Linked DNA regions of Coturnix japonica. The main gene of each other region encodes a partner of the protein of the gene in region 3 in a complex. Links are inferred from orthologs where the notes say so. Each region holds a gene or a part of one and is shown on either strand. Other genes may lie near its edges.

Region 1 (4,269 bases), on a different chromosome or scaffold from region 3:
AACATGGAGACATTTGTATCCTCAAGGATATAGAGCATAGAGATGCTGGAGCTGATAACACTGCAGTTCAGTCATGTTTAGCTCAGGCAGAACTAACTGCAAAGCACAGCTGACAGATTGCCCTGCCCTCCCTTCTAGCCCAGCCACACACAGCTCCTCCAGGCTGGATGTGGGAGCTGAGCCAGCCTATTCCACAGCTGCACCTGGACAGAGAAGGCAGGGCTTCTCACTGAATACACCAGCATTCAGTGTCAGGCTGTACCGTGTTTAGACATCTCTGTATGATACCCAGTCACATGGCATTAACATAACCTGGAACTATCAAAATTGATCTGTGTGGAATCACAGGGGCTGGAAAAGACCTTTAAGGCCACCAAGCCCAACTCGCCCCCCCCCTTCCCATGCCCACATCCCTCAGTGCCACATCCCACAGTTGTGGATCACTCCAGGGATGTTGACCCCACCACCCTCTGTGCAGCTGTGCCGATGCATCCCCATTCTTTCTGAGAATCATTTTATTCCTTTTCTATCCTTTGTTACGCCACTTCTTGCATTTTTAAGTAGAGATCACAAAAACAGCCAGTTCAATCATTTCACTTCCAAACCGATCCCAGCACAAAGGCATCCAGAATAAAAACACTGCAGCAGAGTTTGTGGCACAAAGCAACGCACTTGTATCGTCACCTCTTGAAACAGAAACAGTCTTGAGTTGGTGGGAATCATTTCCTCCACAACGATCATCAACCCTCACAATTCTCACTTCCCCTCACTATGCAATTAGAAAACCAATTATAATGGGGAACCAAATACCTCTCATGAGGCCTTGATCACTCTGATAAGAAACATTTCCAACACCAAATGTGAATTCTTGCTGCCACAACTTGGGGCCATTAACTCTTTATCTTGAGAGCTTCTCAGAGCACTCACAATCACAGATCATCTAGTCCAACCATTCCCAATACTTCCCAGCTAAATCATATCCCTCAACACAACATCCAGACGTTTCTTGAACACCCCCACGGTCGGTGACTCCCCCACCTCCCTGTGCAGTGCATTCCAATGCCTGACTACCCTTTCCAACAAGTAATACTTCCTAATGTTCAGCCTGAATCTCCCCTGGCGCAGCTTAAAACCATTCCCTCTAGTTCTATTACACGAGAGAAGAGGCCAACCCCAGCCATCCCACTCCACCCCCCTCAGAGAGCAGGCGGCATCCCCGAGCACCCAAGGCCGCTCTCTCCCCGTTGAAGGCCACTCTTCACCTCCTCTCTGTCCCCACACCACTACCCAGCCATTATTACCCCTCTCCTCACCCCCAGCCGCCCTCTCCCCGCCCTCTCCCCGCCTACCAGCGCCATCTCTCCGCCTCCATCCGGCATCTCCTCAGGGCTCGGTTTCACCTCAGCCTGTCGCGCTTGCGCCCGCCATCAACTGAGCATGAGCAGAGCGACTCTGTATTGCTTCGTCTCGCGAGAGGTACCAGCCCGCTGTCATGGCGGCGGAGGAACCGGAGGTGGATGTGGAGGGGGATCTGACGGCCGCGCTCGGGGAGGCGGCATCAGAGTGAGTGAGGGTACAGAGCCCGTATAGAGCCCGTATAGAGCCAGTATAGAGCCCGTATAGAGCCGGTATAGAGCTCATATAGAGCCCATACAGCGCCCAGCCGCTGTGGGGAGCCCTGGGTTCTTTGGTTTGTTCGACCCTGAGCAAAGGGAGCCGAGGGGGGCCCTGATGGCGGCTGCAGCTCCTCACAGGGAGCGACTTATTGAGGGGGGTTTAGGCTGTGCCCAATGGTGTGTTATAATACTATCTAATAGTCTACAATGCGTGACGTGAATTTTACTATCTCCTTCTTCTGGTGATGGTATAGAGCCCAATGATACGTTCATTTTGATTGAGTATATGTGTCGTTTTGAATATGGGGCTTTTCTTTCAGAGGTCATGAAAACACAGCATCGAGCTTACTGCAGGATCACTATCTTGATTCATCCTGGAGAACTGATAACAGCCTTGTAAGTTATTTTTAATTGAATTGAATGATTGAATTGAATTGAATGATGCTACTAGCAAAGTTATTCCAACTTCAACCTCATCTCCATGTACAGCCCCTTTGAGATTATTAAACAGTGTCTTGTGCTTATCTCCAGAAGCTCTTTATATATTTCATTCTTGGTACTTAAATAGCGTAACAGAATCCAGGATTAAGAGCTGTTTGTGTTGTTTGCAGCCATGGACGCTGGACAGCAGCATTAGTGAAGAGAACAGGGCTGTCATTGAGAAAATGCTGCTGGAGGAAGAGTATCCTTTTTCTGATCTGCTTCATTGCAATGGAACTGGCCCAATGGTTTGTTTGACAGCATGACAGAAGGAGAGTCACTTTGTAGATGGATTGTAGGGACTTAATAAGTCATATAACTGCCCATAGCTTCTCCTAATGCCAGTAAGTCTTTGTCTTGTTCAGTCCCTTGGCACTTTTTTTGTGACTGAGTAACTCAGAGTAACAGAAGAAACAAGAAAATACAGGGATTTTCCCAACGTAATGAATTAATGAGGGTTAAACTAAGAGTAGATAAGAGAAAGTTACTTCATTATGGTTTCTGTGTCAAATAAGCAAAAGCCTGTTATGGAAACAGGACAAACTCAAAGTGAGTGAGTTGTGCATTCAGGAAACAAGTATCACTGCCTTCTGTATTAAACTAACAGGAGCATTCCTATGACTGAAGTATTAGGAACCAATGTAACTAATAGGATTTCTAGAGTTCTTATATCTTTGAAAGCTTTCTTAGTAACAATTGCAGATATTACCTATCAAACAAATCGCTGTCTGAGAAAATATGGCTCAGTCAAAAGGAAGCAGAAAAAAGATCTGTGAAAAGGTGAGCTGGGTAATAAGAAATGAATTAATAAGAAATTAAAAGCTGGTTAATTGCAGGTATGTGCAATTGTATCACATTGACTAACTTTTAATTTCATTCTGTTGTGTTTTTATTTGCAGCCCACATAAGAAAACTGGAAAAGTCATGTATGTACATTGTCACAGTTGCATTGTTTTCAGCATGGCTTCTAATTTTTGTTAAGTTACAGAACACACACCCAAAAATGTCACCTCCCTAAAGTTATTCAAGGGATCTTTCAGCACACAGAGATACTGTATGTAAGAAAAGGGCTGCAGTTAACTCATTTGTTGTGTTTTGTTGCTGGTTTGTTGGTTTGCTTTATAACACAGTTGTCCTTATTTAAAGAAAGAATGCTAATTCAGGTTGGCTTTCGTGGCTGTCTTTGAGTCTTTCTTTATGATGGAGAAGCTGACGTGTTTGTCAGTCTATCAGCCAAGCTGGTGCTTCAAACAACACCATGAGCTTTAAGGAGATAATTAGTGTTGCTCTTGTCAGGAGTTGTCTTCAGTCACTGGGGTTTGGGATGATATGCTTAAGAAACCATCATCTCATTTCCTTCCTGTTCATAGGGTGCGATCTCCTACAAAACCAGGCAGCAACTCATTGAAGTGGACATCAGAAGAAAAAGAACTATTTGAACAAGGGCTGGTATGAATGCATTGATGTGTAATTGTTTGAATAGGCCATTAATTTATCTTAAATAATAAACTAATCATAAATAAACACGTTGTGCTTAGCTGTTTCTACTTGTGTACTTGTAACTGCACAGTCACACTGCTGTCTTAAGTGTGCTTTAAGTATAGAATGCATAGGATGAGTGATGAAAGTGAAATCCTGCAGCTCGTATTATTAGGAATAGCAACACTTCTTACTGTTGGATGCGATGCATTCCTTGTTGCAATGTGATTATTGAGGTTCTTGGGTTCGGCTGTACTGTTTGTGTGTTTGTAATGCAAAACTGAGCTTTTAAACACTTTGTGAGTATGAACTGGAATGTTTGGAATGTTGGAGACTGGGTAACTCAGGTTTGCTTTGTTGCTCTAGGTGAAATTTGGCCGCCGCTGGACAAAAATTGCCAAGTTGATTGGGAGTCGTACTGTTCTACAAGTGAAGAGCTATGCCAGGCAGTACTTTAAGAACAAGGTAAACAGAATATTTCAAGTATTGTTGTCAAGTTAGTTTGCTTTGTATGATTTTGGTATTTTTATTGCTTTGTCAGCCTAACACCTCCCTCTGAACGTCTGTCTGCTGGTCAAGTAAAATAGTTCTGATTGTCTGGGAAGCAGTTTTTTTCCTCTTTTTAATGTATCTTATGCTTTCCTAGGCAAAAAATGATGGTTCTGAAAGAGAAGAGCAAAGTCAGTGTGGTGGC
Region 2 (3,652 bases), on a different chromosome or scaffold from region 3:
GCCAAAGGAGTACATCACACGCTTGGTTTTTGATCCGTGAGTATGGCTGGAGAGGAGTTTCATGATTGGGATGAAGAGAGCACATTGCTTGTTGCAGACAGTGATTTTAGAATGGGCCAGCCCAGATACTGTAGAGAGGAACTCTACCCCTGCTACCCTTATGTTATTCTTATGAATGTTAGAACCAAAATTCTGAAAATAATTCTGGTGTTCATTAGTGGCCTCTGGGCCCATACTAACTTGCAGACTGCTCTATCCTCTGTTTTTGGAGTTTGAAAACCAAATGGCAGCAGAGATTGAAGGCTTTTCAGTGAGAAGAACTTGCAGAATTTATGAAGAATAGCATCTAAGTCAACATGGGGAGAATGCTTAAAATCACTGCTCACAGGAGTACATTGCCTTTCTCTTTATACGTGCACGTTTCCTGCCTTGCTTTAGGTACAAATCTACACCACAGGCACTTTTAAAGAGATATATTTGCTATAGCAACATCCACAGGTTGCATGTTGTCTTCATCCACCCTAGTGAACTGATGAATTGTGTTTAAGCAGGAGAAAAAGGGTTTTCTCTACATTCATGGATATTTACGCTCTGCCCATTCTGACTTTTGTCTTCTGCTTAGCTGTTCTATTACACGGATGTTTTTCTTCTGTTTACAGCACTCATTGCCTTTAGAGTTTCAAGGCTGTCAGGTGTCAATCTTCTTATTGATCAATACATTAAGACAATTTGTTGCCCTGACATTTTCTTTACCTTTTGCTCAGAAGTGTCTATTTTTAGACTGTTGCACTTCTTACAGAGTCTACTTCCAACCAATGTGCTTTCCCCAGATTTCTGCCTGTGTACAACCCATGTCCATTGAAGATTTAGGGGTCTACAATATTAACTGCAGCACTTCACAGTGTAGTGTGCTTGTGGACTCTTTGCTACATGTCAGTAGATACCACAAATGGAGCTTTGCTTGAGCTGATCTAGATGTCTGCCTAGCCTGGTTAGTGGTAGAGCCTACCTCCACCACCAGTGATATGAGCCACTGTCTTCATGTCTGCTATTATTGCTGTAGCAGTTAGGAAAACACTTCTGGAATGATTTCCTCTGCTTTTAGACTTGCTAGCACTTCCCTCTGCACTACTTTCTCAGTGCCAGCAAGCTCTGCTGCTGCATGCTCTGTGCAATCTCTGAAGCTCAGGCCACCCAGTTCTGGGACAAGCGGACAAAACTTCAGTCTCCAAGCACAGGAGACCAACCGTGGAACTTTTTCCTGTGTTCTTCAGAAGGGACCAGCAAGGTTCTTGTGAGGACCAGCACGAGTCTGGACTCTTTTTCTTCTCCTATGAGAGGGTAAATGCTGCTCGATTTGGAGGGAGAGGCAGCACTGAGAAATTTTCTGAAGTTTGGTGTCTTAGCAGCACTGTGAACTCAAGCAGAAGCTACTGGTTGAAGTTCAGGTTTCACAATAACCAAACATCTGAGTAAATTTTGAAGCAGTAGTCTTGTGCCATAGCCTCCTCCCACATTTCTCTAGGCCCTTCTTTATTAGCAAAGACTCTTCTAATAAGTTGATAGGAAAAAGTGCAGTCTAACTGTTCTCTTCCAAAGACTTTTCAGCCATTAATATAATTATGATCTATTTTGTTCTTATTTCCAAAGTGGTCATCCTTAGTAAATCTTTTTCCAACAAGAGAACAAACAATTTTGTTTTGAAGAAACAAAATTAAAAACACAAGCTACTATACACTGCTGTCTTTCTACAAATTAAAAATACTAAAATAAAGAAAAAAAAAAAAAGAATATGTACAATATATAAATTCTACTTCAACACTAACATTTAAAATACTTTTCAGACTGACCTTTTTTTGGAAGAGGCTCATTTTGGCACCAACTTTCCTTCACATCAAAGACATCTTCTCTGAATTTACAGTACTGTTTATACAGTTTATATTATACTGTGTACTGAATAAGCTAGAGAACAGCTGCATTGTAAATCTTTCCAGACCTTGAGGATGATGCTAAAATTTTGGTGCTTGATGTGAGAGTTCAGATTGCACCTTGCTTTATCTTTCCCGGCAGTCAGTGCAAGTGCAACAGAAATGGATATTTATTCTGGTCTCCATTTTACTAGGAATTAGATTAGAAATATGAAATATCATTTATTGCTTGATCAGCTGTGTTGGAAACTGATAGCACAGCTATTCAGAGTACATGCAAGGAAACAGGAATCCCTTAGGAAGGACTTGCTGTCCTGTAACTCCATTAATTTCTAATTTAGGCAGGCTAAGATCATACTGAGAACTATGCAATGGCACAACTGTCAGTAATATAGTCAACAAAAGTAATATAAATCTTATTAATAGAAGTACTCTAGTATGTAGGAGTACTTGGCAAGGCTAGGACATGCTGCATAATGATGAATTTTATGGTAAACTCAAAGCATGATGTTAAGAAAAACTCTTCGGTAGGTACAGATATCTTAACAGAGGCATATACAATTGCAGTGGCACCATGGAAAGAAGTGAATCAAGTTTCTGAAAAAAGGAAAGTAATGGCACATTATGTACTATGTACATGAATTAAAATGAATGTTATTTTTGTCTACTCAGGAAACACAAGACTCTTGCATTAATAAAAGATGGTCGTGTTATTGGTGGTATCTGCTTCCGAATGTTCCCTTCCCAAGGATTTACAGAGATCGTTTTCTGTGCTGTGACTTCCAATGAGCAAGTCAAGGTAAAATTAACTCTCCACTAGAGTTTATTAAATGCATATGAATTCCATTTACCACCGTATATACTCCTAATTTTGTGGTCTCATTGAATATATTGTGCTACCAAACAGAAATCAAATTTGATAGATACAGTGATTCTGAATGTACCATAGAAAACCTAAATAATAGGACAGATTTAAAATCATCAGAATAATAGTGGGACTATTTTTCTAAGAAAAAAGACACATTCCTCAACACAAAAATAATGGTAATTTTTCTTCCACTCTTGGATTATTCACCCTTTTCTTCAGCAACTGCCTTTCAGTGTGGCATAACGCATCATGGTTGGCTGAATTAAGTGTAGCTTACATGTGTTTGTAATATATGCTCAGTCTCTTTGTGATGTTAAACAGCTTCAATGAAAATTAGTTATATCGAATAAATTAGGTATAGTTTCACAACTCAAAATAAGCATACACTGTTTTGCATACTTATTTTTGAGTACAGTGTGCATAATGTTCTCAGTGTTGATCTGTAATGTTGAGAGAATGTAAAGCACTATAAATATACAGGAGATTCTGCTCTTCTTCTCCAGGATTACAGGTAAATCTAAGTGGGAGTATTTAGTTCAGGATATTGCCTTTAGATGGTGCTGTAGCTATATGTTTTTCAGTTGAAATTGTTAATGCTGAGATGTGGGTTAATTTAGAGTTTCTAGAAGATGAACAAGCAGAAACTGTGTGAAAGCCTGTGACAACTTTTAGTACTTGAATTATATTTGAATTTATGAGACTCTGAATTCATAAGGTTAACATTTCCATGGACACAGTAGTATATAAAAAAAGCACTCAAAGTGTTTTATATGAACAGTAACAGAGCTTGCTGTTGGTATGTTTATTCTATGTCTATATAATTCATAAAAGGTGTTTTAATTAAACTGAAGCATTC
Region 3 (3,652 bases):
TCACACTGGTGAAAACAGAACCCAGGGAACGTCTACTTGAACAATTGCGGAGAAAACAACTACAGATTGATGCTAGGATGAACAGCGTGGTAAAGGAAGTGGAGGGGAATGCAGATGAGGTATGCTTATGTCTGACAAACATATCAATGGAGATTTCACATCTCTAAAGTGTTTTGTATTGTTCTTTTAATCTCTGTGGAAGGTTGACTATAAACCCAGCACTGCTGCAGCCTTCCTGCATGGTACTTGGAGTTGCATACTGAGCTTTTGTGAAAAACACAATCTTGAAAAATAAGGGAAGACCTTAATAGCTGTTTAGAGGCTCTCATTTCTATTTTACAAATATATATAAAGCGTGATGAGATCTGTACAAGACTCAGCACTTCCATTCACGTAGGAAACTCAAATATTCAGTGAACTTCTTTGAACGCTTCTATTGTAGGACCTGCTGGCAGTGGAGGAAGGAATGCAAGAATCCAGTGAAAGTCTTGGTGGTGACAAGTACTTAGTGGATGTAAACATAAGCTGTCATGCAAATGGGGGCATTCCCTTTTTCCAGGTAACTTTCACAGCCATTCTAAACAGTGAAAGACAGTGAAAGAAAGTTATCATCCTATAATAGGCTTGTAGTATAAAATCATTTGCTGATAGTCTTCAGTGTAGTCTTACAACTTCTTTTACTGCTGTAGAATACACTTTGTTAAACTTCAGTCAAAATAAAACATTCTAACAAGGTATTAAAAATATAATTATTTGCTAGACACATGCATTTGTTTTAACGGAAAAGATGAGATTTAATACAGTGCATTTTCTTAGAGACCTGATTAAATATAAGCTTTTTTGATTTTATTTTTTTTTTCTTGCATGCTTTTGACCCTTCTCTTCCACCGATGTATTGTGGACCTGCATTATCTTAACATGCAAAACTTATCAGATGTTTTCTTTAAATTCCAGTATAAAAGGAGTCACAAAAAAGATAAAGAGAACAAATCTGCGATGATGTTGGAGAAAAACAAAACTGAAGACATGACAGAACAGCTACTTCCTAAATCTAAGCTACCCTTAAGATCAGCGAACTAAGATTATACATATATGTATATAGTGCAGATTCTTATCGAATACTTTTGGTTATCTACTGAGCCATAAGTTCTCTTCGTTATTCTGCCTCTGTATATAGTGATATATTGATGCAACGTTGGATCCGAAACTTGACCCAATATGTCCTGCCTTTGTTCTGTTTTTATATATGATGGCTTGCAAAGTATTAACAGTTCTATTTTTAAAACAAAACAAAAAAAAAACCTGCAGATTATGGTGCTGTATGTTACGTGACTTTTTTTTATCCTGTCAATTAATAGATTGCTTTCTGCTTCTTATTAGATTTGTAGTAGCAGGAAGGGATATGGAATAATGCTGGGTTTTTCATTGTAAATATGTGGTCTGTTTTTGTACTTGTCTTACACTTATTTCTGTTGCTATAAAGTAGATGGTTGTCTTTGGGATACTTTTAAATAAATCAGTTGATACATAGAGTACAGATGTGTATGCATATGTGGTTTTGGTCTTAAACTTGATAATATAGCTAAAACATTAGTGTATCTGCAAAATAGATGCTCTGGACACCATTTAGATAAAGATCAATAATTTTGATTATACCCTTTCACTGTGATTCTCTTAGTTATGGCACCAGATAGACTGATCAGCTGTATTTCTGTACCACTTCTTACCTGTTATTTTTCTTCATGGGTGAAGCTAATCTCTTTTCTTTAGCAGCAGATAGCAGGAGACAAAAGTATGAACAAGGCAGCTGTATGTCCACTGATACATTATTGTTTTATTTGTATCATCTTAGTACTTAGCTTATATACTAGATCTTTCTATTATGTGAAGTTTGGAACCCTATATAAAGGGGTTTTGAAATCTTGTTTTGTCTGTGGGAATGTTTCTATCAGTGTGGTTGGTATATTGTGAAATTCTGATAACAGAAACCTAATGGATGTAAGAATTCTCCAAGGCTTAGCATCTAGGTTCTTTTACACTGACAAGATTTTTGTTAGTGTGATCTGTCCATTTCCTAGCTGAAAGGCATTTCTGCAAGTCTTTCAGCCTTAATTTTTCCATATGGAGTTCACAAGACTGGTGTGAACAAACAAACTGGAGCAGCCAATGCCAAGGAATGATCACAGAATCACAGAATTGTAGGGGTTGGAAGGGACCTCTAGAAATAGAGTCCAACCCTCCTGCCAAAGCAGGCTCCCTACACCACATTGCACAGGTAGGCGTCCAGGGCACATCCATTAAAATGATGCCAGTATCTATGCTTATTTAACTTCTTGAAACTACCCTTGTCCATAGCTGTTTGATTTTCCTTGGTACAGATGCAGGTTGCTTTTCTCATATTGAAAGGCTTTAACAGTTGTATGAATCTTTAGGAGTGCTTGCTTTCTCTTTTCAGAGAGATGTGTTTTCTTACATTTGCAATAATATTATGGCAGGTAACTGCTCCTTTCGTTGGGCCTGGTGTGTAGTGGTCATGCCAGAAAGCTGAATGGGATGAAAAACTTGGATACTCTCTGCTTCCTTGCCACGTTCTCTTCTTCCACTAGGTGGCTCTAACACTGAAGTGTTACTCTAAACCTCCAGCGCCGATTGCTAACTAGGATTTAGGAACAGGCATTTTGCTGAGGTTTTAGTCAAACATCTGTTACAAGAGCAGGTTTGAAAACCTAATAATTTTATGCTTCTGCTAGGATAACCCTATATTCAAACTGTGGTGAGCGTTTGTTTAAGGAAGGAGCTGCACCTGAGTGAAATGTTCAGAATCACAGCTTGAGCTTTGCCACAGGATCAATAGATGTTTGTAGTAATTAAATGCTCTCTGAGATCTCTGTTGCATGGGCATTTGCTAAAATAGGAAGCAAAACCTACTTGTTTAGCTGTAAGAGACACCTTCCTTAACTTTGCTTACATAGGGTTACTGGATATACAGGTTTAACCTGTAGAGAAGAAATTGGTGATCTGGTGTAGTTTACAGAATGGTATCTATTAATGGTATCTATTTGGCTTGTTAGAAAGTATCACTCATAAGAAGTATCGAAGCTGTTTCCACAGAACAAGTCGGGAGGTCATAAGCTGACTGAGTTAGTTGCGCTGAGCTGGAGGTAGAGTTGTGGTGTGACTGGGATTGTAGCATACAGCTGCGCTCTAACTGGGTAATTTTTCCGTCTGATTCTAGATTAGCAGCCAAGTGGGGCAACTCTTGAATTAACAGCAAAAAAAAGAAAAGGAAAAAAAAAACAAAAACAAAAAAACCAGAAATATGTACAATGAATGGTAAAATGAACAGGGGAAAAAGAGCTTAAACACATGTAATGTGTGAAGAGTGATAAAAAGACAACAGGAAACAATAATCAGAGCCACCAGCTTTCTTTTCAATTGAAAGGGAGCAATGAAGAGACTGGAGGAAAGGAAGCTTTCTGCTTCCAAGCTGACTGCTGTTGCTGGCTGCTTGTATTTCAGGTATCAGAAGCAGTTGTGTGGGACTTGAGAGGAGTGAGAAGGTATGTAGTTGTTAGGCTCTACTTTCTTTGTTCTGTTAGACATCAGTCCCCTTTGTAATCATATGTTAAATGAGCAGAGGAAACAAGAGAGC

Evidence for each region.
Region 1: KIF11 (region 3) and MYSM1 share a complex: the UniProt entries of both Homo sapiens proteins name them as parts of the large chromatin remodeling complex. The link is inferred for Coturnix japonica from reciprocal best matches to the Homo sapiens genes KIF11 and MYSM1.
Region 2: KIF11 (region 3) and KAT2B share a complex: the UniProt entries of both Homo sapiens proteins name them as parts of the large chromatin remodeling complex. The link is inferred for Coturnix japonica from reciprocal best matches to the Homo sapiens genes KIF11 and KAT2B.

What each region holds. Positions count from the first base shown.
Region 1 is NC_029523.1:23,575,905-23,580,173, reverse strand, and holds the start of MYSM1 (histone H2A deubiquitinase MYSM1), read left to right. Parts: upstream 1-1,452; 5' UTR 1,453-1,492; coding exon 1,493-1,563; intron 1,564-1,936; coding exon 1,937-2,012; intron 2,013-2,227; coding exon 2,228-2,298; intron 2,299-2,798; coding exon 2,799-2,876; intron 2,877-2,995; coding exon 2,996-3,022; intron 3,023-3,466; coding exon 3,467-3,545; intron 3,546-3,941; coding exon 3,942-4,040; intron 4,041-4,221; coding exon 4,222-4,269. UniProt on the Homo sapiens protein: Metalloprotease with deubiquitinase activity that plays important regulator roles in hematopoietic stem cell function, blood cell production and immune response.
Region 2 is NC_029517.1:32,878,027-32,881,678, forward strand, and holds part of KAT2B (histone acetyltransferase KAT2B), read left to right. Parts: coding exon 1-36; intron 37-2,600; coding exon 2,601-2,727; intron 2,728-3,652. UniProt on the Homo sapiens protein: Functions as a histone acetyltransferase (HAT) to promote transcriptional activation. Has significant histone acetyltransferase activity with core histones (H3 and H4), and also with nucleosome core particles.
Region 3 is NC_029521.1:17,986,942-17,990,593, reverse strand, and holds the end of KIF11 (kinesin-like protein KIF11), read left to right. Parts: coding exon 1-119; intron 120-442; coding exon 443-559; intron 560-954; coding exon 955-1,080; 3' UTR 1,081-3,311; downstream 3,312-3,652. UniProt on the Homo sapiens protein: Motor protein required for establishing a bipolar spindle and thus contributing to chromosome congression during mitosis. Required in non-mitotic cells for transport of secretory proteins from the Golgi complex to the cell surface.